Linked DNA regions of Elephas maximus indicus. The main gene of each other region encodes a partner of the protein of the gene in region 2 in a complex. Links are inferred from orthologs where the notes say so. Each region holds a gene or a part of one and is shown on either strand. Other genes may lie near its edges.

Region 1 (15,391 bases), on a different chromosome or scaffold from region 2:
CTACCACTGGGTGAGGCCAGGCGGGGGCCCTCAGAACCAGGGCCCTCTGCCAGGGCCATCAGCACGGGCTTGGTCTCGGGGCCTTCAGCAGCAGCAGGCGGAGCTCCAATTGCTGCCTCTGTCTCTTCCTCCTATGACAGTAAGAGGGATAAGCGATGGTGAGCAGGGCTTGGCACCCTGCGCTGTCCTACTGCGATTGTCCCACAGGGGACACTCACCTTGACAATGGCCATGCCAGGCAGGGGCGGAGCTCCAGGGGCTCCAGGGGGTGCAGTCCCTGGCTGACCGGCAGCCGCGGCAGCACCACCACGCTCGATGACAATGAGATTGTAGTCCTCTGTGGTGTTGCCTGGAAACACCTTGAATACGGGTGGCTGGCTGTCGGCTGTGAGGTCCAAGTCCAGGCGCTCGAGGCTCACCCGCGGCACCTTGCGCATGAGGCCGCTCACCTCACCGTCACCAGAGCGAGACCTGCAAGGCACAACTTGCCATGAGGCTAAGTCCAGACCAAGCCAACGACTGGGCCTGCTTACCGCCCCACAAGGCCACCACTCACCGCTTCACACCCGATACGTGAGGCTCCGCACTGGAGTAGGGGTCATCTACTTGGGAGATGGAGGAAAGGAGATACTAGATTGGCGTGGGAACAGTGTGAGTCTCCCCCCAAGCAGCGCTGGGGCCCAGGCTGATGACCCACTCACCTGACCCAAAGCCATAGCCTTCCTGTATCTCCATGGGCTGTGGGCAGAGATTGGGGGACTTCAGGTGATGGCCCTCAGGATCCTGTGCTCCATTCTCCCTCCTCCCACCAACGCCCTCCTTACCTGGCTGCTGCCCGAGCCCTGCTTGCTCAGTGGGCCAGGGGCCCGCGGAGGGGCCATGGGTGCAGGGCCTGTGGAGTTGGTGCCCGAGCGCTCTGCCACGATCTTGCCTTCGGGAGACAAAGAGTAAGCAATGGCAGAGAAAGTTCCCTGAAGAATGGGATCAGGGGAAGAAAAGCAGGGAAGCAAGACTCACCGAAGGCCTCAGCACTCTTGGTCCAGGCGTTCAGGTCCCACTGGAATTTCATCTCGCCGTGTGGCTCCACGGGGTCCACGATCATCTTGAGAGCACGGTGCAGCTGGAAGTAGATCTGGGCAGAGTAGGATGGGTGGCTTGTCAGTGCTCTGGGCAGTGCAAGCCACCTGTGCATGGGGGGGCCACCTCCCCACAGCCCCCCAGAGCCAGCACACCAGCTTCTTGGACAGCAGCAAAGCCGTGTTGTTGTCACTCTCCAGGGCCCAGGAGGCAAAGCGCAGGATATGCTCCTGGTGCTTCTGGATCTTGGTCATGGTCCAGTGCTGCCGCTCCAGCCGCTCCTGCTGCCCCTCGGTCACCTTCTGCAGGGTTGCGGGGTGGGACACAGGATCAACAGGCTGGAGGAGAAAAGCAGCTGGAATTCTCCCACCCTAGGTGGGACTGGGATACACACCTGGGCATCATTGACCAACACGCGACCGCGCTTATTCAGCTCCTTCATGATCTGCAGAATGGCCATCTTAACATCCACCTGCACACGCTTCTGCACGTCTGACACCTGGCGGATTCTGAGAACAAGGTTGGGGCGGGTCAGACTGGACAGGCAAGGGGCCGCCCCCCTCCACAGCCCCGGTGCCCCCAACTTACGAGCTGCGAACCTCCTTGGTACTCTTCTGCAGCGTGGCATGCTTGTCCCCCAGGCGCTTCACCAACGAGGCCAGGAGCTTGCGCTGGTTCCTCACTGCATCCTCCAGAAACTGGTACCTGTGGAATGACAAGAGACGAGCCGGGGACAGGGTGCTGAGAGCAGGTACTGGCCCATCCAGCCCACCGTGGTCCGGCTCGAAACTCACTGATGGTCCTTGTGGGCATTGAGCTGGCAGTCCCGACAGGTGAGGGTGTCACAGCTCTCGCAAAACAGCACAAGGGGCTCGTGCTTGTGTACGCTGCAGTACACAGTGCGCTCGCCATCCCGCGTCTTAGCCGGCCCTGTGGAGTGAACACAGTGAGGCAGACACAGGGAACCCTGGCCTGGGCCACCCCCACCTCCGGAGCCACGCAGAGCAGCCTCTGGCCAGGTTTGGAGTCTGGGCACATGGCAGTGTGGGGGCAGGGACTGCAGCTCTGCAACCTGATCTTGCTTCCAGCACCCTCTAACCCAACCTGACCAGCAAAATCTTTATAAGCCCTCCCACTTGTAGGGCTGACAACACAGAATAAACAGAGGTAGACCCAATAACATGACTGAAAAATTGGCAGTTCAAACCCACCCAGCAACTCCATAGGAATAAAACCTGGTGATCTGCTCCTATAAAGATTACATCCTACAAAAACCCATGAGGCAGTTCTACCCCATCACAAATAATCACTGTAAGAAGAAACCAACTGGACGACACTAACAAACAACACGGCTTCTACCAGAAGACACCTCCCTGTGCCATTTCCTCCGTGGATACGTCCTACCTAGGCAGACAGACTCCAAAAACTCCTCCAACCCACCTACTAACAATGTCATCCACAACAAATATCCTTTCACCACAGAATGGGATTCTGACCACTGAGCTATCACCCCAAGTGCAGGATTAAAAGTGAACTGGGGGCCTAAAGAAGCCTGAGCTCATTCATGAACAATTTCCTTAGAAACCATGCTCTCTAAGATCACAAGCAACCTACCAGCCATGGGCCAAAGGAACCCTAACAGCTGCTTACCTGAATCCAGGAAAAACAAGATGTTGGACTGGGACCCCGCAGACAGCATCAGGCCATTCTGGGAGAAATTCCCAGTGCTCAGAGTAAAGCCACCCAAGGAACAAAGATGAACCCAGCCCCCTCCCCTGAGAGCTGCTTATACATGCTCCCTTTCCTTTTTTCCAATGCCAATCACAACCTGGCTGCACCTGTCAAATCTAAAGCACAAGGCATAGGCCACCTGGTCCTAGACCCCTCACTGTACCAACATCTCCAACCAGACCCAGGTCCCGCAGCAAAGCCCTGTCCATCCCTCAGCCACCTCCATTCTCATCTTCCCACAGATGCTGTCCGCTAAGCTATGACGAATCACAAGATACCTCCTGAAAACCCATCTCATGAGGAATTTGGGGATAAAAACCAGCTACAATAGATTCCCGAGCCCCTTTTCACATAGGAACCAGTGCACAAAAAAATCTGTAAATATCTAGTTGAACCCTGGGCAGAACGCAGCTGAAGTGCCTCTGGGACACACCGTCACTGACAGTTCATGGGCGCTCACAGCTCAACAATGTGCCCTGGCCCCAAAGACTCACTTTCCACATAAAGCTTCGAGCCAGGGTGCCAGGGAACCCCAAGACAGTGACCCTTCACATCCCTCATTAAACACCACACCTTTCCCCAACTATGCAAGCTGTTCCCTCCACCTGGAAGGCCCTATTCCGACAGCACACTTCCTCCCTGCCTGGAGGCCTCTATGATGAGCATCACCCGGACCACCAACTCCCTCATGCCATGAAGCTCACTGACGTCCACTGTGATCCTCCAAGATCTTTTCCCTACCACCAGGACCCCTGGAACTTGCACACCAGAGCCCCACCTTCCTGCTTTCAAGCAGTCTTAGCCCTGGGACCCTTCAGAAACTAGCCCCTAAAGAAACACGTAGGGAATCAGCCATGAGATGTGACCAGCAGCTGAAGATTTAAAACACTTGCCTCCTCTGCACGTCCCTCTCTAGAGACCCAGGAATGTTCCTGCCACCCCATCTGCCCCATATACCAGTGGATCGCACAGTGTGGTCCTTGGTGTACTTCACCCGCTGGTGTGCCTCCACACATGTCTCACAAAGCGGTTCGGAGCATTCCACGCAGTAGCTGGTGGCGGGTGCATTATCCTCACAGCTGGTGCAGCACTGCTAGGCAAAGACAGAATCAGAAGGAGTGGGACCACCTAATGATTCCCTGTCTAACAAAGCACTACCTGAGACAACGTGCAACCCTTTCTCAAGCCAAGGCAGCCTGCCCAGAGCAAAAAGCGGGGTGGAGAATAACACCTGGTGTTGCTGTTATGTTCCTCCTGGCCTGGTGACCCCTCCTCTCGGGGCCTACCCAAAGCCACAGGCCTCCTGGAAGTGACGAGAACAAGACACACACCTGATTAGCATCCTGGGAATCGGTGGCAGCCTTGCTACCACTGTCGCGCATAAAATAGTTTTCCACGATATCTTTGTAGAAGCACTGCTGCTTGCACACGGGACAATCCACCACTGCAAAAGGTGAGAAAAACACCGTGTCTGGGCGGTCCCATTCTCACAATAGACTCTGAAACCGGGTACCCACACCCAACCAGGAAGCCCATCCTCTACCTCGGATAATCCCACATCGCTACGCAGCCCCCGTGCAAGCCCCCATATCAGCGTCCAGACCCCATTCCCACCCCAGGCAGGCTTCCACCCCCGACCCCACCTCTCCCCTCCAGCAGCGCTTCCGGCGCCCGGGGCCGTCCTCCGCGAACTCACCCGCGCTGTCCCCCGCCGCGCCGCCGTCTCCTGAGCTATTGGACGCGGCGGGTGCGGCAGGCCCGAGGCAGGCGTTGCAGGCCGAGTGCAGGCAGGGGAGCAGGCGCGGCTCCCGCTCGGGCCGCAGGCGCTCTCGACACAGGCCGCAATGCTCCAGCAGCTCCAGCGCCTCGCCACCGCCCGAACCGGGCGACGACGCCGAGGCCGAAGCCGAGCCTGCAGCCGATGAGGCGGCGGACCGCTTCTCGCCACCCGCCGAGCCCTCGCCTGGGCCGGGGCTACCCGACGCAGCCGAGGCCGCCGCCGCCGCCGCCGCTGCCGAGGCCGCCATTCACACACCGCCGGGGGCGCCCAGGGGGGAGGAGGGGCACGGGGCCTGCCGCGCAGGCGCAGACAGGCTCGCCGCCAACGGCCGCGCCGCTGCTTGGGCCGCCGCCGCCGCCGCGAGGCCGAGCGCTGCTGCGCACCGACTGGGCCGCTGCCCGCCGCGCGCGGGGCGCTGCCGAGGCCCGGCCGGCCGCTGCCTGCTCGCTCCCCGCCGGCCCGCCGCGTGCACAGCCGCCGACACCGCCCTCGAGCCCAGCTCCACGCACACGACCGCTCGCCCGCGCGCCTGCTCGCAGAAAGAGCCGCGGCTGGGGGGCGGGACAGAAATAACTGGCGCCGACGCCTCCGCGCACGCGCGCTGGGCACCTTGCGGCCCGGGGGCGGGGTCTGAGCCTGCCGCCGACTGCGAGGTTGCTAGTACGCAAGCGCCCCTCTCACCCCCCACCAACCATCCCCTCGGCGCGACTCGAGCGGCATGGGCGGGGCGCAAGACGTCACCGCCGCAGTTTCGGCGGCAGGCGGGGCGAAAGCACCGATTCTTGCGCGTGCTACCCGCCCCTCCAGACCCACCTCCAGACCGCACCGAGGCTACCCGCTGTACTGCGCACGTGCGTGGGCAGCCCGGGACCCCCCCCCCCCCATTTTACCCCACCTTTCGGCCGGCGAGAGATATCGCCAAGCCGCTGCGTCACCAATAGCTCCTGGAAGGGCCCGGGCCTGTGGGCGGGGCTCCATCGGAGGAGGAGGCAGCTCCTAAAGGGGCGAGCCACTTCGGGGCTTTAACCTTTCTGCTATAAATATGAGAAACACAGAAAGCTACTTAAATTAAATGTAGAACTCAAGGGGTTACGGAGCAGCGAGTCCGTGAAATCCCACCCGGCCCTCCACTGGCGCTCCTTCCCCATCTCCTAGCCAGCCTCTCTCCTGACTTTGATGCTTTGCCATTTGTCCTCTAGGGGGACGGACATCCCGACCCTCAACAGTGGGGGAAATCTTGTCTGAAAAGGGAAGCTGGGCCTGTGTGTGCGGGGTATCCTGTCTGAAGGGGGAGCAGAATCTGGGTGGGGAGAATCCTGTCTGAGAGGGGAAAGAGTCTCTGTGAGGGGAGAATCTTGACAGTAGATACAGAGACTCTGAGTGTGTGTGGGTGGGAGGGTAATCCTCTGAGGAGGGAATAGGGTCTGTATGTGTAATTCTGTCTGAGGGTGGAAACGGGTGTGTGTGGTGGGAAATCCTGTCGGGGCAGGGAGGGGGGAGAAAGGCTGTCTGAGAATGGAAGCAGGGTTTGTCTGGGTGGAATTCTGCCTGAGGGAGAGGCAGATCCTGTGGGAAGGGGAATCCTAAAATGCTAAGGAGGGAGTGCTAAACGGAGCGCACGGCCTTGGGGGCGTAGGGGAAATCCTGTCTGAAGAGAGTGGCGCAAGAAACACGAGGGATGGACATGGCGCTAGGAGTGGGCCCTGGCCCCCTGCGCAGTGACCGCAGCGCGCATGACAAGGCCTGCCTCTGTACCCTCGGGTCCTGAGGCCTCGCGTCTGAAATGCGACGGCAGGTTGGGGGAGGGAGGCTTCCTGGAGGATGGGGTAGGCCAGCAGGGTCAGCGAGCCCAGGCCGGAGCCCCAGAGTGCGCACACTTTAAGGCGGGGGCCGGACAGTCTTGGGGCGGGGTGGGGGGCGCCATCTACCCTCCATTCCCCAAGCCGTGCGGGCGCACGTGGCGGTGGCGGAGGGGCGACTGGCCGCTGGCCCAAGGTTGCCTTTTGTTCCTCTCCGGGGCTCGGGGTCCGCAGAGCTTTGTTCCCGCCCCTGCCTTTGTTCCAGCCCCAGCGCCCGGCCCCCCAAATTCGGGCCCCGCCCTGCTCCCGCCTCTGCGCTGCGTCATCGCCCGCCACGCCCCCTCCGCAGGCTGCCCGGCTCCACCCGGTGCGGTGAAGGCCACGCCCCACTGACCGGCCCCTTCTCACCTCCTCCCAGCCACCTCTGATAATTCGGAACGAATGTGAATGGCTGGCGGCGCACAGGGTGAGGTGGGGGATCCTTTAGATATATTCACTGAGCGTGTTGGACCGCAAAATCACAGGGGTGAAGGGGTGACCCATGCCCTAACCTGAGCCCTGGGGCAAACACTGAGGAAAGAACCAAACCCACTGCCATGGAGTAGATTCCAACTCAGAGTGACCCCATAGAATTTCCAAAGCTGTAAATATTTACAGAAGCTAACTACCACATCTTTCTCCGACGAAGCCTCTGGTGGTTTCCAACGGACCTTTTGGTTAGCAGTCAATCGACTTAACCACTGCACCACCAGACACTGGGGAGGGAAGGGCGATCAAAATACCAGTTGGCCTGGAGTCAGTTCCAACTCATGGAAACTCATGTGTGTTAGGGTAGAACTGTGCTCCATAGGATTTTCAATGGATGGTTTCTCAGAAGTAATTAGCCAGACCTTTCTTCTGAGGCACCTCTGGGTGGACTTGAATCTCTAACCTTTCTGTTAGCAACTGAGCATGTTAACCACATTAACCATTTGCACCACCTAGAGACTCTTCAAAAAGATTGATGGTAGAGGATGTGGGAATGGAGCTTATGAAAGAAGAAATTCTTATACTCTATTAGAGTAAGAGACAATAAGTTTTACTGAGGAATAAAGCAACTCAAGTTGGGCAGCTCAAGGTGAAAGTGCAAGGTGCTCCTTTGAGCAGAACAAAAGATGGAGTTTTTATACTTAAAGTTCAACATGGCTAAAACCGTAAATATCTTGCAGAACAATTTTTTCCACATAGCAGTTAATTTTCTAACATACATTTTCTAAGAACGGTCTGTACAAGCAATTTTCTAGAACAGTTTTGTCACATGCTTCCTGGATGTAAAAATGGTGTGGGGGTGGTGTTTGACCTCCTCTAACTTCAGGAGGGGGAAGGAGAATCAAGATCAACAGCCCAAGGCTGTTTCCTTTGAGGAGGAAGCCTTCATGCTTCCACCCCCCAACCTTTTTACCAGTTCTGATACCAACCATCTCTCCCACAGCACCCTCTACTCCTCTGCTAGGTCCGATAACTCCTTGCAACAGCCACACAGAACTCACAGCCAATACTCATGAGTAAGCGGTGTATTAGGGAAGTAACAGGTTACAATTCAGGATCAGAAACAACTCACGATACAGTTCTTCCGTCAGGACAGCTTTTTTACCGCTGTACCTGCAGGCATGTCTATCTCTGGCCCTTGGCCTCTCTGCCCCATGGCCCCTCAGCCTGTGCTCTGCCCTGCTCGGGCAAGTGTTACAAAGCTATTTTAGCTCTGCCAGTAAGTGCCCAGAGGCACCCCATTCCACCAGCAAGCCTCCTGCCAGAAGGTGCTCAGCTTTCTCATTCACTGAGTTGGCACACACAGCAGTCTGTCTCCTGCTAGTCTCCTGCATCTGCTGCCTTTGCTGCCGCCATTTCTCTGCACTGCTCTCTCTGTCTCCTGGGTCTAAGAGGGTCTCACCACAGAGATCCTGGGTCCAAAGGATGTGCTCCACACCCATCTCTCCTTGGTGGTAGTCAAGTCCCTGCTCTGCTCAGGAATTGGCTCTCTTTTAAGCCTAACAGGATGGCAAAACTGACCAATCCCCTCATTAGGGTTCCATACATCTTCTTTGCATCATCCCATCCTAAGAGTGCCATGCACCTTATTTACATTATTAGCAAGCTACCCAATCCCCATAGTGGGCCACAAGCACCTCATTTGCATAGTCCCACTAGTCTATTGGTGCGAGTTACAAGACCATGGTGAGAAAAAAAAAAAAAAAAACCTGTTGCCATTAATTTGATTTTGACTCATAGCAAACCTATAGGACGGAGTAGAACTGCCCCATAGAGTTTCCAAGGAGCGCCTGGTGAATTCAAACTGCCCACCTTTTGGTCAACAGCTGTAGCACTTAACCACTATGCAACCAGGGTTTCCAAAAGGCCATATAAAACAACCCAGTGCACCACACTGGAACATTCTAGGTACATATCTTCTGAGAACGAACACCATGTCTCCTTCTGTCCCACATGTCATGGATTGAATTATGTCCCCCAATGATTCCCAGTATTCTGTGGTTGTCCTGTATTTCATGATTGTAATTTTATGTTAAAGAGGATTAGGGTGGGATTCTAACACCACCCTTACCCAAGTTACATCCCTGATCCAACGTAAGGGGAGTTTCCCTGGGATGTGGCCTGCACCGCCTTTTTTCTCTCAAGAAATAAAATGAAAAGGAAGCAAGCAGAGAGTGGGGGACCTCATAACCACCAAGAAAGCAGTGCAGGGAACAGAGCATGTCCTTCGGACCCGAGGTTCCTCCCTTTGGACCTGAGGTTCCTGCACTGAGATGGTCCCAGACCAAAGGAAAACTGATGCATCCCAAGGACCTTCCTCCAGAGCTGACAGAGAAAGAAAGCCTTCCCCTAGTGCTGGGGCCCTGAATTCCGACTTTAAGCCTACTAGACTGTGAGAGAATAAACTTTCCTTTGTTAAAGCCATCCGCTTGTGGTATTTCTGTTATAGCAGCACTAAAAAAAAAAAACAAACTAAAACACCATGTGTTGGCCAAGAGTAGTCCAGGGTAACCCTTCCTTGTAAGTTCAGTCTGAATACTTCTGTACTTTGAATATTTGCTAGCACAAGCTGAACGACCAGAACGAAAATAATGAGAATGTTCACACATTATGAAGTACTTGATCCAATGTCACTGAACAATTTGTGTAGAAATTGTTGAATGGGAACCTAAATAAAAAAAAAAAACTGTTGTATAAATCTTCTGCAGTGCAGTGAATTACTTAATATGGCCCTTCTAGCCATAATCCTTGTGATTCCCACACAATGATTGGGTGGGACTATGCAAATAAGGTGCTTGTAGCCCCACCAATGGGATTGGACAGCTTGCTGCTAATGCAAATAAGGTATATGGAACCTGTGATGATTAAGGTTATGTGTCAACTTCATTGATCCATGATTTTCAGTGGTTTGGCATTTATGTAATAATATAATTTGGCAGTTATGTAATGATGTAGTCATCCTCTGTGGTCTGATATAATTGTCCTCCATTTTTTATCTCATATAATTGTTTTCCATTTTGTAATGTGTAAATCCTAGCCTCTATGCTTATGGTTATGGTCCCATTTTGGAGTAAGTTGTCCATTATGTTAATAAGGGAGGATTAGGGTGAGATGTGTCTTGGGTCACCACTTTACTAGAATGTGTGACTCAAGTTACCATTCATACCCCAGTCACCACCCTTATTCAAGTCACATCCTTGCTCAAGTAAGGGGAATTTCCTTGAGGGTATGGTTTGCATCCAAAATATATGTGAATGCTCTGGCAAAGCTCTCTGTCTTGCTCTGAATCCTGCATCTAGCTTGTCATCATCAGACCTCCAGTTCTTGGAACTTGAGCCAGCAGCCTATTTTCACTGATTTGCCAGTTTCCACAGCCTTGTGAGCGAGCAGCCTGTCATCTGACATGCCTATATGAGTTTGTCAGCCCCTGGAACCATGTGAGTCAGGATAAGCCTCCAGCCTGATGCCTGAATCACATATTTCAGACTTTGCAAGCCTCCATAACGGCGTGAGCCATTTCCTTGACAGTTCATGAGTTCTGCGAGATGTTGCAGCAAATTATGGAATCCAATGATGGGAGAGAGAGTACTGAGGGGAGGAGTAGTAGTTGGTGTTAGAGATGATGGAGTGGTACAGCAATTTGAAAAAAGTTGGACATTTGGTACATCTTTAACCTCTGCCTCATAGGAACTAGCTTTGTGCTGATCCTTCTAAAAGAAATTATTCATTCAACTTCACTGAAGATACAATAAAAAAAATTTTTTTTTTTAAAGCATGGGGATGGAGTCCCTCAGGGAAGAGCACTGCCCACAAACACCTGCAAGAAGGACAGTGTAGGCAGGAGGAACAGCAAGTGCAAAGGCCCTGAGGCAGGATGGACAGCTCAGTGGTGGGAGCTGGGCTGGACAGCTAGGAGGGCGAATAGGTGGGTCCCTTGTGACCCCACCAGTGCAATGTCTCAATACTAGACCCTGACCACCGGTCCTGGAGTTTTCCGGGCCCAGGGTACACATGTTTTCCTTCTGTACAGTAATCTTTAAAGCTCCCGACTTCTCTGGGCCCAGGACCTTTCTCTCCAGTATGTGACAATCACACTTAGCAGGATATTACCTGGTAGTAGTCCTTGGAGGGTTCGCTGGCCACTAGCTACTGGGTCACTGCCAACTCCATTGTCCAGATTAGAAAACTGAGGCTGTGGGAAGTGCCAGGACAACATTGGAGTGGGAGTCAGCTGGGAACCAGAGTCAAGCAGGCACAGGAAAGGCAGAGGTGTCCCAGGGTCTAGGCAGACAGGAGAGTGGGGCAAGGGCAGGACCTTCTGTTGAGGGGTCCTGTCTGAGGAGCCAGACTGTTCCGAGGTCCAGAGGTGCGTGGCATGAACACGTGTGTGGGAAGACACCCCATTTAGCTTCCTTACCTTGGCTCAGTCCCCCAGTGGGGCCCAGCCAAGCAGTCACTGTCACCTTACACACTGTCTGCAATGTACCAAGTTCACAAGTTCTTAGTATGAAGAACTACTTGGAGGAGAGCATGGACCAGACACTGTTCTAATTGTGTGATCAATGGGTGTTTATTATTCACAGAGTATACAGGACAGCAATGAGTAGAGCAGAAAAACAGCAGCAGCAGCCAAGTTTCTCCAAAGTTAGGTTCCCATCCCAGGGTGAAATGTTATGATTGCATCCAAGCATGCCTCACTTTGCACCATGGGTGAGGAACCCCGAAGTTCCTCTCACCCAGAGTTAATATACTAGCGAGCTTCAAGCTTCAATGACTATGTGCCAAAAAGCATGTACAGAGAGTAGGGGAATAAAAGGCAAAGCCCCCTGTGGGCAAGGACGGTACTCATTGCCTCTGCTCAGAGTACGTGACCATCCCCTGATTAACAGTTCTAGATTCACTGGCCTCGGTGAACCAGCCTTTCTCCTTCCCCCCACTAAGATAGACAATAAATGTTTCAGCCTCTCAGAGGGCGATCATCTCCCCCTAAGGCACATACTTTACTTTGTGTCCATTAGTTGCTATTATAGTAAAGCTGTACAGCACACCTGTGCACCCAGCACTCTTATCGTCCATGTTCCTTGGTGACCCTTTACAATGTCTCTCCCTTCCCAGCTCTGGACCACTGGCAACAATCCACATTCCTGCTTTGCATACAGGCTTGGTCTTCTTCAAGGGGTGAAGCAATGTGTGAGACCTCCCCACCACCCCAGCAGGATCAGGCCTCACCTGACCCCTGCCTTCTTTTCCTTTCCCAAGCTCTCCTGCCCACTCTCACATGTTACCCCCAAAGCTGCTTCCTGAGGAGGCTCCTCTGGCCCCCCACACCAGCTTGAGTTCTCATCCAAGGTGAATACCCAGGACTGCCCGCAGATGGCATCTTGTGTCTGCTTGAGGCTCCCCCACCCCACAGCTTTAAAAAACAAACAAACCCACTGCCCTTAAGTCGATTCTGACTCATAGCAACCCTATAGGACAGAGTAGAACTGCCCCCATAGAGTTTCCAAGGAGTGTATGGTGGATTTGAACCATCGACCCTTTGGTTAGCAACCATACCTCTTAACCACTATGCCACCAGGGTTTCCATAACAGTTTTACAAAACCAGAAAACCAAACCCATTACCATCGAGTTGATTCCAACTCATTGCGACCCTATGATGATAACAGCTCTATTAAGGTATAATTCACATGCCATAAAGGTCATCCTTTTAAAGTGTACAATTCAGTGGTTTTTAGTATATTCACAGAAGTGTACAACTGCAGTGCTGTGAATTCCTGTTATGCGGTCTTCCTTGACATGGTCTTTGACTCCTACAAAATGATTGGGTGGGTGCAGTGTAATGGATTGCTTTTGTATGGTCTTACTGGCCATGATCTTGTAACTCCCACCCAACTGAGTGGGTGGGACTGTGTAAATAAGGTAATTGCAGCCCACCAAGGGGATTGCTCAGTTTTGCCATCCCCCACTAGGCTTAAAAAGAAAGTGAACTCAGGAGCAGAGAGGGGATTTCACCACCACCAAAGAAGGGCCGAGAGCAGAGTGCATCCTTTGGATCCAAGATCCCCGCGCTGAGAAGCTCCAGGAACCAGGAGAAGGAGAGAGAAAGCCGTAATGCTGAAGATGGCAAGAAACAGCGGCAGGAGAGACCAACAGGAGAGACTGGCAGGAGATGGCTCAGTGGACTTCCTGGCCATGGAGCAAGAACACTGAGTGCCTTCGGGCAGGAGGCTTGCTGGCTGGCAGAGCTAAAAGAGCTTTGTAACACTTGCCCCAGCAGGGCAGAGGCTGAGGCCCAGAGAGGTATTCCTGTGAGCACAGCTGGGAAGAGGCTGTCCTGATGGCAGAACAGTATCTTGAGTGTTCCTGAACCTGAATTGCAACCTATTACTTCCCTAATAAGCCCCGTAATTGTGACTATTGTCTGTGAGTTCTTTGTGGCCATTGCAAGGAATTATCAAACCCAGTGATAGAAACAATGCCGAAGAACCTGTGATAGAATTTTCCAAGACCAATGACTTCTTCATTGCAAACACCTTTTTTCACCAACATAAAAAGGAATCAGCCTTGGGCTGATGCAGATAATCTTGATTGTCTCTCCTCCTGGCTTCAGGCCTCTTCATCTGACCATTTTTACAACAACCATCATCACTAATACCAGAACATTTTCATCACCCCCCCAAAATCCCATGTGTATGAGCAGTCACGTCCCCCCCACACACCCGCCCATTTACCCCTGTGTTAGTTAAAAAAAAAAAAAAAAAATTTTTTTTTTTTTTTTTTTAAGTTTCCTAGAGCTGCTATAGCAAATTAACACAAACTCAGAGGCTTAAAACAACAGAAATTCATTCCCTCACTTCTGGATGCTGCCCATTGCCATCGAGTTGATTCCAATTCATAGTGACCCTGTAGATGTCACCATAGGGTTTCCAAGGAGCAGCTGGCAGATTCAAACTGCCGACCTTTGCCTTCTATTCTTCTGGCTCTTATTTCCACTTGTCACTGGATTTAGGGCCACCCAAGTAATCCAGGCTGATCTCACCTCAAGATCATTAATTATATCTGCAAAAGCCATTTCCAAATAGGTCACACTTATAGGATCTGGAGGTTAGGATGTGGACATATCTTTTTGGGGGCCACCATTCAACCCACTACACCCTCAGCCTCGTTTGTTATGGCTCCTGCCACTCGCTATACTACTTTCTTAATGGACTTGCCCGTTCTGGAATTCTTCTTTGTATTTTTATTCAGTTATTTTTCTGCCTTCATCATTTTCACTCTCCGCCACTGTCCTCCCCAGGCCAGCGTTGTCCTCTCTGGGCTTCCACATGTGCTACCACCCACCCTCTCTGGCTTGGTGGATGGATGTGAGCATCCCAGTGGCCATGGACTGGACTTCCCCTTACTATGGAGAATGCCATGCCAGCCTCCACCATATAGATCCTTGCCCAGTGATAGACATCAAGTGGCTGCTCCCTCTGCCCGTGGTTCCTGCAATTCTTTGACTGACAGCTTCATATGACCTAGGGCACTTATGTAGGTATATCCCTGGGTTTATACCTGGATGAGGAATTGTCACTGTCCTGTACCCTCCAGTGATCCCTTTTGGTTTAGAATAAAAATTAGATTCCGTTCTGGACCTAGATAGTTGAGATGATTGATTAACACTGAATGTTCTTAATCTCACTGAATCGCACACTTTGAAATGGTAAATTTTATGTTGGTGTATTTTTATCCCAATTAAAAAAAAAAATCAGATTCTGATGAGGGCCCTGGGGTCTGCACCAGATACATGGTCTGACCTGTTGGTCCCACCTTGCTCGGGCCTTTGCATTTGCTGCTTCCTCTGCCCATATATGTGCTTGGCACGCGTGGTGACTTACGTATCTAGTGCTGCTGTAACGGAAATACCACAAATCGGTGGTTTTAACAAACAGAAATTTATTTTCTCAGGTTAGGAGGCTAGAAGTCCAAATTCAGAGTGTGAGTTCTAGGGGAAGGCTTTCCATCTCTGTTGGATCTGGAGGAAGGTCCTTGTCTCTTTGAGCTTCTGCTCCTGGGAGATCTTCATGTGACTTGGATTCTCTTTCCTCATCTCTGCTTCTTGCTTGCTTGTTTAATCTCTGTTGTATCTCAAAAGATACTGACTCAAGATACAACCACTAATCCAGTCTCATTAACATAACAAAGACAACCCATTCCCAAAAGGGCTTATAACCACAGGCATAGAGGTTAGGATTTACAATACATAATTTTAGGTGACACAATTCAATCCATAACACGGGAAAAGGGAAGGGGGTAAGACGAAGGGGCCTTTGCTGGAGATGGCTTGGCCACCCGGTTACAAGGAGGGTGTCTTTTGTTCAGGCACACACAGCATAGCCATCCTATAAGCAAGGTGCGTAACTAGAAAGAACATTCCTCCCCTCTGATCCAAGATTAATTTTGTAAGCCAACATTTTCTAATTAATGATACAA
Region 2 (15,867 bases):
AGACATATTATCAGGAAGGACCAGCTCCTGGTGAAGGACATCATGTTTGGTAGAGGGTCAGCGAAAAAGAGGAAGACTTTCAACGACATGGACTGACACAGTGACTACAACAATGGGTTCAAGCCTAACAACAATTATGAGGATGGCACAGGACTAGGCAGTGTTTCATTCTATTGTACGTAGGCTCGCTACAAGCTGCAATCAACTTAACAGCATCTAACAACAACATCAACAACAGCAACCATTTACCAAATTGGAAATGCTCATATCTCTGTGGCTTCCAGGACACTATCGTTTTCTCTTACTATTCTAGTCTTCTTTGATATTTTTCATTGTTTTCCCTTCCTTTGTTCATCACTTAATGTTGATGCCTCTCTCTGTACACCCTGCTTAAGACATTTTCCAGTATCTACTGCAATGATGACTCCCAAGTTATTTCTCAGGTTCTGACCACACTCTTAGCTCCAAACTCTAATTTCCAACTCAATCTTTCTACTGAGATATGGCAGGTATTCAAACTCAATGTTTTAGTATTTTCCTTCTGAACCTAATTCCTATTTTAGTTCATAATGCCAATTACCCAGCTGATCAAGCAAGGAACAGTTATCTTTAAATTTTCCATACTTAACTGATCAAATCCCATCAAATACATGTCTTATAAAACTCTCCTAAATTGCTTCTTCTCCATCATTACTATCATTTGCCTGCATTTAGGCTTCAATTAATGCAAAGGCTTCATTAATCGTCTTCTCATATGAAATGCTTTACAGGGTATATCAAATAAAGTCCAGATACCTCACAACCCAGAAGTTTATACTTTTACCTTTGTAGTTTTATCTATAGTGCCTTGAACCTCTTTTTCCATAGATAGTACCCCCATACACATACTACAGACACTTTCTTTGAGCCAACGTACACTTTCAACCCTTTCGTCCCATACACAACCAAAAAACAATGATTCATGGTTTAGGGTCCACTCCAAAGGTCACCTCTCCATGACTTCTGACTCTCCTGAGAAAGAATGGGTAATTAATCATTTGTGAATCACAGACTGTGATTCTACATTGCTTAGTACTTCCCCTTATTATTAGATTTATCACACTGTACTAGTTTAATCAGATATTTACATGTCCTTCCCTCCTGGTGCTCGAGGATCATGCTTTGCTCGTATTTCTATCCTTTATGCCTAAAACATAGTAGGTTCTCCCCTTTCTCACTCATCTACTCTTATCAATTGCCCCCAAACTCACTATACACAGAAAAAAAAAAATCAAAGAAAAAAAGGGAAAAATGTGTAGATGACAACCACTGATAACTCTGCACACTGAGAGCAAAGTCAACCTGGAGAGGAAAAAAACACAGGTTAAGTGTGTGCCCTCAAATCCAGACCTTGTATTTAGACCAGTGTTAGGGAGCCTGTCCCATCAAAGAGCAAGTATCCATGGTTGAAGAATGCCTAATGGCTAGGAGGCTGTTTCAAGGTCACAAAGAGGAGGAGGAGATTACAAGATATGTATAAAGTACTAAAATTACCCACTTATCCATCCATCAAATACTCCTTGCTTGCACACATATTTACTCGGGACCTACTACACGCCAATGGCCATTGTGAATGCTGGGGATGAATAATCACTCATGGAGCTTATATTCTAGTGAGGAAGACCAAAACCACAAATACGTTATGTCAGGTAGTGATAGATACTAATAAAAAATAAAGTGGTAGATTGTTGTTTGTGTGCTGTGGACTCAATTTTCAACTTTTAGCAAACCCATGTGACAGTAGAAATGCCCTATAGGCATTTCTAAGCTGGTATCTTTAAAGAAGCCAATTGCCATGCCCGTCTCCTGAGGGGCCACTGGGTGGGTTCAAACCACCAACCTTTTGGTTAGCAGCCAAGTGCTTAACCATTGCACCACCAAGAATCCTTAAAGTGGTAGGAGGGGGATCTATTTCAGAGAGTGATTAGAGAAGGCTTTCTAAAAAGGTGAAATTTCACTAACACTAAATGAAATGACGGCATTATACCCAAATAACAGCATGAAGGGTCTTCAAGGCAGAAGGAACAGCAAATAGGAAGCAGCAGAGATACGATGGTGCTCGGTATGCTCAAGGAACAGTGTATGACTGTGGCACAGTAACTGAACTTTAGTAGGAAATAAATTCAGCTCGTATTAGGTAAAACAACAAGATTAGCTAAAAAAAAAAAAGAGTGATTGCAGTTAATTTTGACTATATACAATTTCTGTGTTATGAACTTAAATCCTAACACTCTACCAATAGAAACCAATATGGCATTGTACAATAATGCAGTATAAAAAGTTATCATATGATGATGAACGAAGACAAATAAAATATTTATACCCCACTGATGATTCCCCAATCTCCATCTCCAATCATGACTTCAGTTCTAACTTTTAGCATCTGATCCTCACCACGGGCCCACCACCAAATTCAACCTTCTCTCCCAACATGCTAAATTGAAGACAGGACCTTTGTCTTTTAAATATTGAAAAGAATTACCCAATAGCTTGCAATGGGTTCTCAACACCAATTCTGATGTACAGCACCTCATTGTTTTTTCAATTACCTAAACTATCTTAACATTCATCTTACCTCATTCCTACCACAGATCTAGTTGTAATGTCGTGTCTTTTCTTGCTGTGAGATCTCTCTCATATATTCTTTTCTCCATTTCCACTGCCATCATTAAGTTCAGGTTGTAAAAGCTTCATAACTGATTTCTTTACTTTTGGCTTTTTTTTACAAAACAGCTTCCTTTCATTGTTTTACCAGTCTATCCAAAAAGTCTTTAATGGATCCCTAGTACCTATTTTTAGTACGTCTCCTTGGAAACTCTATGGAGGCAGTTCTACTCTGTCCTATAGGATCGCTATAAGTCGGAATTGACTTGATGGCACTGGTTTTTTTTTTTTTTTTTTTTTTTTAATAAGGAAACCCTGGTGGCACAGTGTTTAAGAGCTACTGCTGCTAACCAAAAAGTCAGCAGTTTGACTCCACCAGGCACTCCTTGGAAACTCTATGGGGCAGTTCTACTCTGTCTTGTAGGTTTGCTATGAGTTCGAATCAACTCGACGGCAATGGGTTTTGTTTTTTTTTTTGTGGTTTAGTACCTATAAAATAAAGTCTAAATTTCTAAGCCTCGACTTTCAAGATTGTCCAAAATTCACAGAATCACCTATAATAATCTTCTCTCAAAGGAAAGCCCACCACTCCCACTAGACTATCACCATCCCTAGAACAAACTTAATTTTCATTTATTTCCCAATGTCATCAAGACTGACCATGAGATCCCTAAAGGCAATCTCAGCTACTAAGAAACACTTATGAATGAAAACACAAGTCCAACAAAGAAAACAGGAGTGAAGTCTACTCAGAAAGAAAAAAAAAATTAAAGTAGAAAAATATGACTAAAAAAAGCAATTAAGAATTTTACACTACCAATATTGAGAAATAACTAAAACATTCCATGAATTCCAGTTTATAAAGTGCTTTTACTTTTAAAGATGAAAAAACTCTGGATCCCAGATTTTAAGTGGCTTGCCTAGTGTTGTACATTTAACTAAAACAAAACAGAGACTTCTAAGGACTCAACATCCCATAGCTAAACCCTGGCCTTCCTTGCCGTCTCTTAACTACATAGGAAACAAATGAATATATTCACTGTAAAAAATATTTAAGTATCTAGATGTTCGGACATCAACTACAGCATCTGTAAGGGAAATCAGGTATCTGTCGAAAGAACAAAGATAAAATGTCACTCCTGTGTTTAAAATCTTTCCGTGGTTCACCACAGCATTCAGACAAGTTCAAAATTCTTTAAACAGTCAAAGCCCTTCAAAATTTGACTCATAATTACCTCTTAACCCAATCTGCCAAATCATTCCACCATATTCTAACTCTGCCAAAGTATTTAGAAATGTTATTCTAATGATAAGTTGTAGGCAACCTAATCCCAAATGACATTACTCTTATATGTAAGAGCTGCAAAGAAAATTCGGATATCAAGGTGAGAACATTACCCATTTTATCAGTACCACATTCACTGAAACACTGCACATGAAATATTGGGTTTTGCGTAAAAAACAGCCTTACCAGAATAAACATTAAAATAAAATGTCTAACTTTTCTTTCATCCCACTAAGATCTCTACTTCATAGAAAACCATGCAAAAAATAAGAGTTTATACTCTGCTTGGATTTGAGTTCTGGCTCTACCAGCTTCCTAACGAGTAATACTGGGCAAGTTACTTAATCTCTCTAAGTCTCATTTCTACAAAACACGGATAAAACCTATCCCTAAGATTGCTGTGCAAATTAAATTAAATGTGAAGCACTTGGCACTATGCCTAAAAAATAGTAAAAGCTTGATATACATGCCTCTAACTGTTAACCGTTTAATGAACATAGGTTAAAATGAAAATTTTAATATTCAGTTTTTTCTCAAATCCTGTTGTCTGTGTCAAACTGTTGAAGAAAAAAAAATTGTTCGTTCATCATAAAGAATCCCAATTATTCATTTGCACCCTGCGGATCTCCAGAATCTGGTGGTGGCAACATCTGAAAGTAATTTGATCTTCATTGGTGCACAGAAATTTTCTTCAGGCACCTAACACAACATCTAACTCAAAGTAAGTGATTAATGTTTTATGAAGGAATGGCAGAATATGAATGAATACCTCTAGGCAAGTGACAGCTGCAAAATCTATCAATGGGCTGAAATGCCTAGGTTCATTTACTAGTAGCAACCATTCTGACCTTAAAAAAAAAAAAAATCCGTTGCCATGGAATCGATTTGGACTCATAGTGACCCTATTGGACAAGGTAAAACGGCCCCATAGGGTTTCCAAGGAGCCACTGGTGGCTTCGAACTGCCTACATTTTGGTTACCAACCCAACTCTTAACCACTATGCTACCAGGGCTCCATTTTGACCTAAACCGAAAACCAAACCCATTGCGGTGGAATCCATTCCGACTCATAGGCCTAAAAATGGTCTAAATGCTAATTTCAACTTCCATCATTGGGCCATGTATCAAGCATCCTCATATAAAAGTGAAGAAAATATAGATGGGTTCTCATTTGGAGCTACATGGTGCCTATGGCAATCCCAAAGCTGTTTTTAAAAGGGCACACTTGGAAGGCAATGCAACAGTGCATATGACACCGAGAATAATATACAGAATCCCTTTCACTTCTCATCTTTTTGAAATATTTCTCGGTGATACACCAATTTGCAACATTGTAACTCACCTGTTTTTTCAGTTACATCTGAATCAGGAGTGCTTGCCCTGCTAACTTCCCCTTCAGCATTCTCCTCTTCAGCACTAAGAGAAATTGGTGAAGAAGGGCCAGGCTGGGAGGGTTGGGGGGTTGCTTCGGGGGCTTCCTCAATCTTACTCCTTTTCTCAAAGCGAAAACGGTCCAAGTTGAAAAGATTCATATTGGTAGCAACCACCACGCTGTGTGGTTGGGACTTTGAATAAACTATCTGCAACAGGGAAATAAAAAAAGAAAAAGAAACCATGAAACAACACAAAGCCATAGCAGTTCATTCCCGAGGCAATAAAGGGCCTGCAAACATGCCAGTGTCTCAGGACGACTATTATGGCTGCGCCTCATTGTTAGGCCACAACAATCAGATGGTGAACAGGGCATCTCTTTTTATTTTCCATTGCTCGTTTCATTCCCCTTCGTCCCCCGCCCCTCCTTCCTCGAACCACAAGCTGACCCTCGTGCAACCTCCTCTTACCCCAGCATGCGCAGGCACGTTCCTCAATCTAACCCCCTAGCGGGCCGCGCGCCCGCCCACAGCGAAAGACTCCCTGCACTACCGAGCCCCCAGTCTCGAGAGAGAGGACGTGCCAGGGCCCGAGTCTCGACACTGCGGGGACACAAAGGGGCCAAAGAAGGGGAGCGGCGGAGGCCGTGCTGGCGGGCACCCGCCCGGAAGTTGACGCGGCACGATCCCGGTTGAGAGGAAGCTGATAGGATCAAGAACACACAAGGAGCTCCAGAGGTGGGGGCTGTGCCAGAGCGTCTTTTTTAATGTTCACTTGCTGGATCTGTTTTTTTTCACCTCGCGGTACTTACGGCCTGGTAGCCTCCGTGCGATGTAACAAACGTTGAAAAGAAAAAAATAATTGCCGGCGTGGGGCGACGGTAGCCGGGCCGGGACCTTTTACGGAGAAACACAAATGAGCGCGTAGTGATGACGCAACACGCAACCTGGGCTTTTTTTTTTCTTCCCCGGCGACCCAAGAGAGGAAAATGTCTAGGCGCGCTGTGTTGTCATGGTAACTCGTATTCGCCTCGCCTGGAAAACGCGCATTTATCCTGTTTTTTTGTGTGTGTGTGTGGTTAGCAAGAGGATTGTAAAATAATGTAATAAATAGCATAATAATAATATATGCTGTGTAATATAATTAATATATTTTATATATTTTAATACATTATATTGTATACACATCATCATAATAGTAGTTAGCTAAATGCCGTACGTGTCAGTGGGCCACAAAAATAGGGGAGTTCGGGCCGAGGTCACAGTAATGGGTTAATCTACACTGACTCTGGAAGGACAGAGAGGAGGGGGTAAACTGCGGCTGTTCTTGGAAGGTATGTGGTTAAGATGGCAATCATAAGGTTCCAGGAAGCCTGTGACAAGAATGTTTATAGAAACCGCACCTGCTTTTGCAAGGTACTTGTGCAGGCAGGCTCCAAGAGGTCTATAGATTAACTGATATGTAATTTAACTGAAAAATTATTTTTAAAATGCTGTGTTCTTATGACTGGAGAACACAAGCCCTATATAAAGTAATTCAAAAAGTATTTGCAGAACAATGCAAGTTTCGTCGTCTCAGAAAAAGTACCTGTTCATGATATTTCTTTATATAAGACCTTGAAAGATCTGTCTAATCTGAGCACGTTGTACTTTGACCGATGTGCTGCCCCGTTCAAACTACTATTCCTCAATAAAACTCTTTGCTTTCAGTTCTAACAAAGCAGTTTTCTTCTTAGACAAATCTAAATCTTTACAAGAAACCTATTTTCATAAAATAAGGAAACTCAGACTTAAAACCGTTAAGTAGCTAATTAGTGTGTGTTAGTGGGTATGTTGAACTCCAAAGCATATGAATTGCCTCCCCATTGTTGGCTGGATTGTTCTTACAATGAAATGTGACAATTAATTCACCTATCTTGGGTAAAATATTGCTTTAAGAATATTTGCTCCCTTGATTTGTAAACGTTCACTTAAAGCTCAATAAAAATTATTAAAAAAAAAAAAAGAATATTTGCTCCCTTTATTCTAACATTAGATTAAACCTCCATTTTTCTGAGCCGTAACTTGATCTGGTTGGCATTTCCCTTGAAGAGGACTTAATACACATAATTACCCTGCAGATACATTGATCATTATAAACTTAAATCTGCATTCTATGTTATAAATCAGTCTTGTGAATTATATAATTATAACACAATTCCACAGTTTTTTCAAATGCCGGCACACTGATAATCAAGTGTCTGGACCCATAAAATGTAGAATCAAAGCATAAACAAAGAGAATCTCCATTATATCTATCTTTGATATCCATGAAATGCATTAGCTTGATACACACGTTAATGATGTGATCAAAGCATATGTTTACTTATAAATAGTAAATTATTTTTGGTAATTAAGAGTATATGTTTGCATTATATGCAGACAGATCTGAGATTGAAAATGGATTCCACTAGCTAAATAACTTTGGGCAAGTTATATAACCTTTCTAAGCCTTAGGTTCCTCATCTTTTAAACATGCTTCACAGTGATAGTGACATATTAGTATGATTTTCTGTAGCTGGGAGACCCTTGACATTTGTAGAGTTGGGGCAAGTGTAAAAATGTAGACCCACATGTTAAATGTTATAAACTTTATGTTAAACATTATAAACACAACTAACAGAATATTAAAATAAATTCTATCCTCCTATTTTGAAAATGACATAGAAGGCCAGGTTAACTTCAAATTTCTATTGTGTCAGAATGTGGATGATTCAAGGAGAATTGGTTGGCCCACATATCCGTCATTCCTTCTATCACGTCCTCCTGCTCAATTTGATACCACTACTTACTTACTTTCTAGGGGCCTTAAAAGGAGCTCTGGTGGCACAATGATTTAATGCTAGGCTGCAATCCAAAAGGTTGCCAGTGCAAACCCACAAGCCACTCCATGGGAGAAAGATGTGGTAGTTGGCTTCTGTAAAGATTTAGAGACTTGGAAACCCTATGGAGCAGCTGTACTTTGTGCTGTATGTATAGTTGCTATAAGTCAGAATCGACTCATCAGCAATGGGTTTTAGAGGCCTTGTAGGAAGCCCAGGTGGCGCAACAGTTGAACACATGGCTGCTAACCAGAGGGTCAGCAGTTTCAACCCACTCAGCGACTCCACGGGAGAAGACATCTGGTGATAGGCTCCTCTAAACATTCCTGTTGCCATTGAGTCAATTCTGACACATACTGACCCTATAGGACAGAGTAGAGCGGTCCCATAGGGTTTCCAAGGACATAATCTTTATGGAAGCAGGCTGCCACATCTCTCTCTCCAGAAGCAGCTGCTGGATTAGAACTGGCAACTTTTTGGTAAGCAGCTGAGTGCTTAAACACTGTGCGTCCAGGGCTCCTTCCTGTAAAGATTATACCCTAGGAGATCCTATGGGGCAGTTCTACTCTGTCATATAAGGTTGCTGAGTCGGAATCAGCTTGCAGCTTGATGGCACACACAATAGGGGCCTTGCGCTCATGCGTATCCAACTCTGACCCCACCTAGGGTTGCCATATTTATAAAACAAAATATAGGATGCTCAGTTAAATTTGAATTTCAGATAAACGGTGAATGCTTTTTTTAGTTTAAGTATGTACCATGCAATATTTGGAAATTACTTATGCTAAAATTTTTTTTGTTGTTTCTCTGAAATCCAGATTTAACAGGGTATCTTGGTTTTACCTGGAAACTATACTCCGACCCATTCCTTGGTCACCTCTTCAGCCTAGTGGCCTCTTGGCTATATGTTGGGCCTAGGGATACATATACAGGCAGCACTGTTGGCCCTCAGTAAGAAAGACCTGGGGGAAATTATCTCTTAGCCTGCTTGGTACTTAAAGCATTATCTAAAAGTCAAGGCACAGCTTCTGAGTGGCCAAATTTTATGGCCCCACAGATTCCTTGCCCAGTGTGGTAGGGCACAACTGAAAGAGAGCCAGATTGAGCTCTCTAAAGCACTGAGTTTACTACAGAGACTCACCTTGCCCAGTTCTAAGGGTAGGCTTGTTCTGCAGCATTCATTGACTTGGGAGACTTGGATCGATCCATGATTGGGGTTTTGCTTGATGGTGGAACAGAAAGTAAATGGGGCCAGAAAGTGAGAGAACGTTCTTGTGGGAGAGTTTCTCTTTTTGTACCTGAAATTGTCTAGAAGAATAGCAAGAGTTGGGGCTGAAAAAAAGACTGTGAACCATTCCTTGAATTCGCCTTCTTTCTGATCCTAAATATTATCATTCTCCAACATTCAGTCCTTGGCCCTCTCTTGTCTCCCTCTACTCTTTCCCAGAATGGTCTGACTGTGGTTGTGACTAGATATATTTGTCAAATCTTTTTCAACTTAAAAAGGGTGAATTTTACCTCTTATAAATTATACCTCAATAAACCTAACATATTCTTTTTAAGCGACAATAAAGAGGTGGAGCAAAGACGATGGAGTAGTCAGATGCTTCCTGTGGTCCCTCTTACAACAAACACCTGAAAAAACAAGTGAATAGATTATATATAACGAACATCAAAGGCAAAGTTGAGGAATCAGACTGAGCAGCAGGGGTGGAAGAGATGGTTCAGAAGCAGAGATGAGTTGCCAGACCTTAACCAGCAGGAACCGGCATCCAGCAGTCTGGATCAGCTGGCCTGTGTGGTGAGGTGAGCAGTGACATCTATATGCTGCCTACAAGAGCCACACCTTAGACTTAAAGACACAAACAAAACTTAAAGGACGGAAAAATATATATCAAGCAAACAACAACCAAAAAAGAGTAGCAGTGGCAATATTAATCTCTGAAAAATAGACTTTAAAGTAAAATCCACCACAAAGGATAAGGAAGGACACTATATAATGACTAAAGGGTCAATACATCAGGAGGACATAACCATAATAAATATTTATGCACTCAATGACAGGGCTCCAAAATACATAAACTCTCACAGCATTGAAAAGAGAGCCAGACAGCTCCACAATAATAGTAGGAGACTTCAACACACCACTTTTGGTGAAAGGATAGAACATTCAGAAAGAAGCTCAATAAAGACATGCAAAATCTAAATGCCACAATCAACCAACTTGACCTCATGAACATATACAGAACACTCCACCTCACAGCAGCCAAGTATACTTTCTTTTCCAACACACATGGAACATTCTCCAGAATAGACCACATATTAGGCCATGAAGCAAGCCTTAACAGAATCCAAAGCATCGAAGTATTACAAAGCTTCTTTTCTGACCATAAAGCCATAAAAGTAGAGATGAATAACAGAAAAAGCGAGGGAAAAAAATCAAACACATGGAAACTGAACACCATCTTGCTCAAAAACTACTGGGTTATAAAAGAACTTAAGGACGGAATAAAGAAATTCACAGAATGAAATGAGAATGAAAACACATCCCACCAGAACCTTTGAAACACAGCAAAAGCAGTGCTCAGTGGTCAATTTATGACAATAAATGCACACATCCAAAAAGAAGAAAGGGCCAAAATCAAAGCATTAACCCTACAACTCGAACAAATAGAGAGTAGCAAAAGAAGCCCTCGGGCACCAGAAGAAAGCAAACAATAAAATTTAGAGCAAAATTAAATGAAATAGAGAAGAGAAAAACAATTGAAAGAGTCAACAAGACCAAAAGCTGATTTTTTGAAAAGATCTACAAAATCGATAAACCATCGGCCAAACTGACAAAAAAAAAAAAAAAAAAAAAAAATGGAGAGGAGGCAATTAACCCAAATAAGAAATGAGATGGGCGATATCACAACAGACCCAACTGAAATTAAAACAATCATAGCAGAATACAATGAAAAATTGTCCTCTAACAAATTTGAAAACCTAGAAGAAATGGATGAATTCCTAGAAACACACTACCTACCTAAACCAACACAAACAGAGGTTGAACAACTAAATAAACTTATAAAGATAGAGGGATTGTAAGTAATTAAAAAATTCCCCCCAAAAAAAGCCCTGCCCCGACAGCTTCACTGGGGAATCCTACCAAACTTTCAGAGGAACGTTAACAGCACTATTACTAAAGGTATTTCAGAGCATAGAAAAGGATGGAATACTTCCAAACTCATTCCATAAAGCCAGCATAACCCTAATACCAAAACCAGGTAAAGACACCATGAAAAAGGAAAACTACAGACCATATGTAAATATCCCTCATATACTTAGACGTGAAAATCCTCAACAAAATTCTAGCCAATAGAATTCAACAACATATCAAAAAAATAATGCACCATGACCAAGTGGATTCATATCAGGTATGCAGGGGTGGTTCAACATTAGAAAAACCATCAATGTAACCCACCATATAAATAAAACAAAAGACAATAACCACATGATCTTATCAATTGATGCAGAAAAAGCATTCAGCAAAGTAAAACACCCCTTCATGATAAAAATTCTCAGCAAATAGGAATAGAAGGAAAATTCCTCAACACGATAAAGGGCCCTTATACAAAGCCAACAGCCAACATCATCCTAAATGGAGAGAGTCTGAAAGCATTCCCCGTGAGAACAGGAACCAGACAAGGATGCCCTTTATCACGACTCTTATTCAACATTGTGCTAGAGGCCCTAGCCTGAGCAGTAAGGCAAGAAAAAGAAATAAAGGGCATCCAAATTGGTAAGGAAGAATTAAAAGTATTTCTGTTTTCAGATGATATAATCTTATACACAGAAAACCCTAAAGAATCCACAGGAAAACTACTGGAACTAATAGATTTTAGCAAAATATCAGAATACAAGATAAACATACAAAAATCAGTTGGATTCCTCTACACTAACAAAGAGAACATTGAAGAGGTAATCACCAAATCAATTCTATTTACAATAGCCCCCAAGAAGATAAAATACTTAGGAATAAATCTAACCAGAGATGTAAAACACCTATATAAAGAAAACTGCAAACACTGATATAAGAAGCCAAAAGAGACCTACATAAGTGGAAAAACATACCTTGCACATGGATAGGCTCAACATTGTGAAAATGTCTATACTATCCAAAGCAATCTACGGATACAATGCAATCCCGATGCAAATTCCAATGGCATTTTTTAATGAGATGGAGAAACAAATCACCAACTTCATATGGAAAGGGAAGAGGCCCCAGATAAGTAAAGCATTATTGAAGAGGAAAAACAGAGTGGGAGGCCTTACACTACCTGATTTTAGGATCTGTTATACTGCTACAGTAGTCAAAACAGCCTGTTACGGGTACAACAACAGATACATAGACCAATGTAACAAGATTGAGGATCCAGATGTAAATTCACCTACCTATGTAAAAAAAAAAAAAAAGCCAATATTTGACAAAAACCCAAAGTCTGTTAACTGGGGAAAAGACAGTCTCTTTGACAAATGGTACCAGCATAACTGGATATCCATCTGCAAAAAAATGAAATAAGACCCATACCACACACCATGCACAAAAACTAGCTCAAAAATGGATCAAGCACCTAAATATAAAATCTAAAATGATAAAGATCATGGAAGAAAAAATAGGGACAACACTAGGAGCCCTAATACATAAAATAAACAGCATACAAAACATTACTAACAGTGCGCAAACACCAGAAGAGAAACTAGATAACTGGGAGCTCCTAAAAATCAAACAATTATGTTCATCCAGATTTCATCAAAGGATTAAAAAGACTGCAGACTAGGAAAAAAATTTTGGCTACGACATATCCAATCAGCATCTAATCTCTAAATCTACAAGACACTGCAGAACTTCAACAACAAAAAGACAAATAACCCAATTAAAAAATGGGTAAAGGATATGGACAGGATATGTACAGTTTTTTTCCACAAAACACAAATTAATAAATTTTGGAGAGGTAGTGGAGAGACTGGAACACCTACACGCTGCTGGTGGGAATGCAAAGTGGTACAACCACTTCGGAAATCTATTTGGTACTTTCTTAAAAAGCTAGAAATAGAAGTAACATACGATCCAGCAGTCCCACTCTTTGGAGTATATCCTAGGGAAATAAGAGCCCTCACACGAATAGATACACGCACAGAATGTTCACTGCAGGACTGTTCTCAGTAGCAAAAAGATGGAAACTCCCTACGTGCCCATCAACAGAAAATGGATAAACAAATTGTAGTATATTCACACAGTGAAATACTTCGCAAAGATAAAGAACAACGAATCTGTGAAACATCTCGTAACATGGTTGAACCTGGAAGGCATTATGCTGAGTGAAATTAGTCAGTTGCAAAAGGACAAATACGTATGAGACCACTATTACAAGAACTCAAGGAAAAGTTTAAACCGAGAAGAAAACATTCTTTGATGGTTACGACGGTGGGGAGAGAGGGAGAGAGGTATTCACTAACTAGATAGTGGACAAGAATTATTTTAGGTGAAGTGAAGGACAGCACACAATACAGGGGAAGTCAGCACAACTGGACTAAACCAAAAGCTAAGAAGTGTCCTGAATACAAGCAAACACTTCAAGGGACAGAGTAGTATGGGCACGGGTCTGGGGACCATGGTTTCAGGGGACATCTAGGTCAATTGGCATAGCAAACTTTATTAAGAAAATGCTCTGCATCCTATTTTGGTGAGTGACGTCTGCAGTCTTAAAAGCTAGCAAGCGGCCATCTCAGATGCATCAGTTGGTCCCAACCCACCTGCAGCAAAGGAGAATGAAGAACACCAAAGACACAAGGAAAATATGAGCCCAAGAGACAGAAAGGGCTGCATAAACCAGAGACTCTATCAGCCTGAGACTGGAATAACTAGATGGTGCCCAGCTACCACCAATGACTGCCCTGACAGGGAACGCAACAGAGAGTCCCTGATGGAGTGGTAAAAAAGTGAGGTGCAGAACTCCAGTTCTAGTAAAAAGACTGGACTTGGTCTGACTAAGACTGGAGGGATTCCTGAAGGCATGGTCCCTGGACTCTCTGTTAGTCCAGAACTAAAACCATTCCCAAAGCCAATTCTTCAGGCAAAGATTAGACTGGACTGTAAGACATAAAATGATACCAGTGAAGAGTGTGCTTCTTGGCTTAGGTAGATACATGAGACTAAATGGGCACCACCTGTCCGGGGGCAAGATGAGAAGGCAGAAGGGGACAGGAGCTGGTTGAATGGACATGGGAATACAGGGTGGAAAGTAGGAGTGTGCTGTCATATTGTATGGAGAGCAACTAGGGTCACATAACAATGCGTGTATAAGTTTTTGTATGAGAAACTGACTTGAATTGTAAACTTACACTTAAAGCACAATTAAAAAAAATAAAGTGACAGTAAAAATTAATTATTGGAAGAAATGCTTGAAATCCACCCTCCCTGCTTGCATACCCCCAGAATACAGAGAGAAGACAGTGATAAAATCAGTAGGAGCTAGATGACTGAGAACCAATCTTTGAGTAACTGGCCTAACCAAAGAAACACACCCACATATACACATGCACATGCAAACACATGAAATTAACAGAGAAATAATGAAAAATAGAATAGAAAATGTTCATGAGCTTTCATTAGTCTGTAGGTAAAGGAACTTACTGAATTCAACACAGGATTGATTAAAAAAGGCTATACACTAAAAATATTCTAGAGATTTTTTTTTTTAATTTCAAGAATTAAAAAAAAAATTTAAGCCTTTTTTAGAAAGAAGCCTACACCCTAAAAAGCACACGCACAGTCAAAAATTTTCTAGTAAAAAAAAATCTGAGGGGAAAACTTGTGATACAATAATTTTGTAGATCACTAATATGTCATTAAGTTTTGGAATCAAAAGAAAAACAGACTTGAACTCTCAATTCCTTCAAAACATACCTTCCTTAAAATGTTCTTAAAACATGAGTTCAACTGACAGGGTTAAAATTAGGGTTTCAAGAATGAAGAATTCATGGCGTAAAAGTATTTGAAACAGCTGGGATGAATAATTATAAATGCAGTATATTAATCAGCTATTGTTGCATAACAAACAAATTCAAATTTTTAGTTACATAAAGGAATAAGTATTTCTCCTTTATGCATCTGGTGATTGGCTAGTGTAGCTGTACTTCAGGCTACAATACCTGGTACATAGAGATCCTCAATAAATATTTGTTGAGTGAACAAATGATATTAATACCTAGATAAGTTGTTTAAGCATACAGATAACCACAGATAAAACTTCATTTAAGCTGAGATATTCCAAATGCCGTAAAAGAACAACATAAATCAGAGTTAGAAAATCTCATAAAAGAGGTGACAGAACTTAACAAAAAATAGAAGTTAAAAAAAAAAAGCCCTTCAGAAGATTAAACTAGAACACATAGATAAACCAACATAAAAGATAATGCCTTAAGAGAAATAAAAAACCAAACCAAACCTGTTGCTGTCAAGTCAATTCCAACTCATAGCAGCCCTATAGGACAGAGTAAAACTGCCCTTTAGGATTTCCAAGGAACAGCTGGTGGATTTGAACTGCTAATCTTTTGGTTAGCAACTGTAGCTCTTAACCACTATGCCAACTGGACTCCTTAAGGAAATAGAAAGTGAAAAGGAAGAAAGCATTAGAAATAAAAATAATTGGTTTCTATTCAGTTG

The links.
Region 1: the proteins of SMARCAD1 (region 2) and TRIM28 are in contact, whole or in part, in a crystal structure (PDB 6H3A), measured with the Homo sapiens proteins. The link is inferred for Elephas maximus indicus from reciprocal best matches to the Homo sapiens genes SMARCAD1 and TRIM28. Residues at the interface, in NP_001362784.1 of Homo sapiens: Asp156, Leu157, Ala160, Lys161, Gln163, Thr164, Glu167, Leu168, Phe169, Asp188, Gly189, Ala190, Ala192, Leu196, Ala201, Gly202, Gly203; in NP_005753.1 of Homo sapiens: Arg330, Trp333, Thr334, Lys337, Ile338, His341, Leu376, Lys377, Ile379, Val380, Asp381, Val383.

The regions. Positions count from the first base shown.
Region 1 is NC_064829.1:87,267,669-87,283,059, forward strand, and holds the start of TRIM28 (transcription intermediary factor 1-beta), read right to left. Parts: upstream 4,925-15,391; 5' UTR 4,836-4,924; coding exon 4,505-4,835; intron 4,253-4,504; coding exon 4,140-4,252; intron 3,899-4,139; coding exon 3,766-3,898; intron 2,008-3,765; coding exon 1,872-2,007; intron 1,783-1,871; coding exon 1,666-1,782; intron 1,587-1,665; coding exon 1,472-1,586; intron 1,380-1,471; coding exon 1,233-1,379; intron 1,133-1,232; coding exon 1,018-1,132; intron 932-1,017; coding exon 825-931; intron 739-824; coding exon 702-738; intron 606-701; coding exon 557-605; intron 472-556; coding exon 219-471; intron 132-218; coding exon 1-131. UniProt on the Homo sapiens protein: Nuclear corepressor for KRAB domain-containing zinc finger proteins (KRAB-ZFPs).
Region 2 is NC_064823.1:60,399,260-60,415,126, forward strand, and holds the start of SMARCAD1 (SWI/SNF-related matrix-associated actin-dependent regulator of chromatin subfamily A containing DEAD/H box 1), read right to left. Parts: upstream 6,199-15,867; 5' UTR 6,111-6,198; intron 6,064-6,110; exon of another isoform or gene 5,770-6,063; intron 5,509-5,769; 5' UTR 5,461-5,508; coding exon 5,271-5,460; intron 1-5,270. UniProt on the Homo sapiens protein: DNA helicase that possesses intrinsic ATP-dependent nucleosome-remodeling activity and is both required for DNA repair and heterochromatin organization.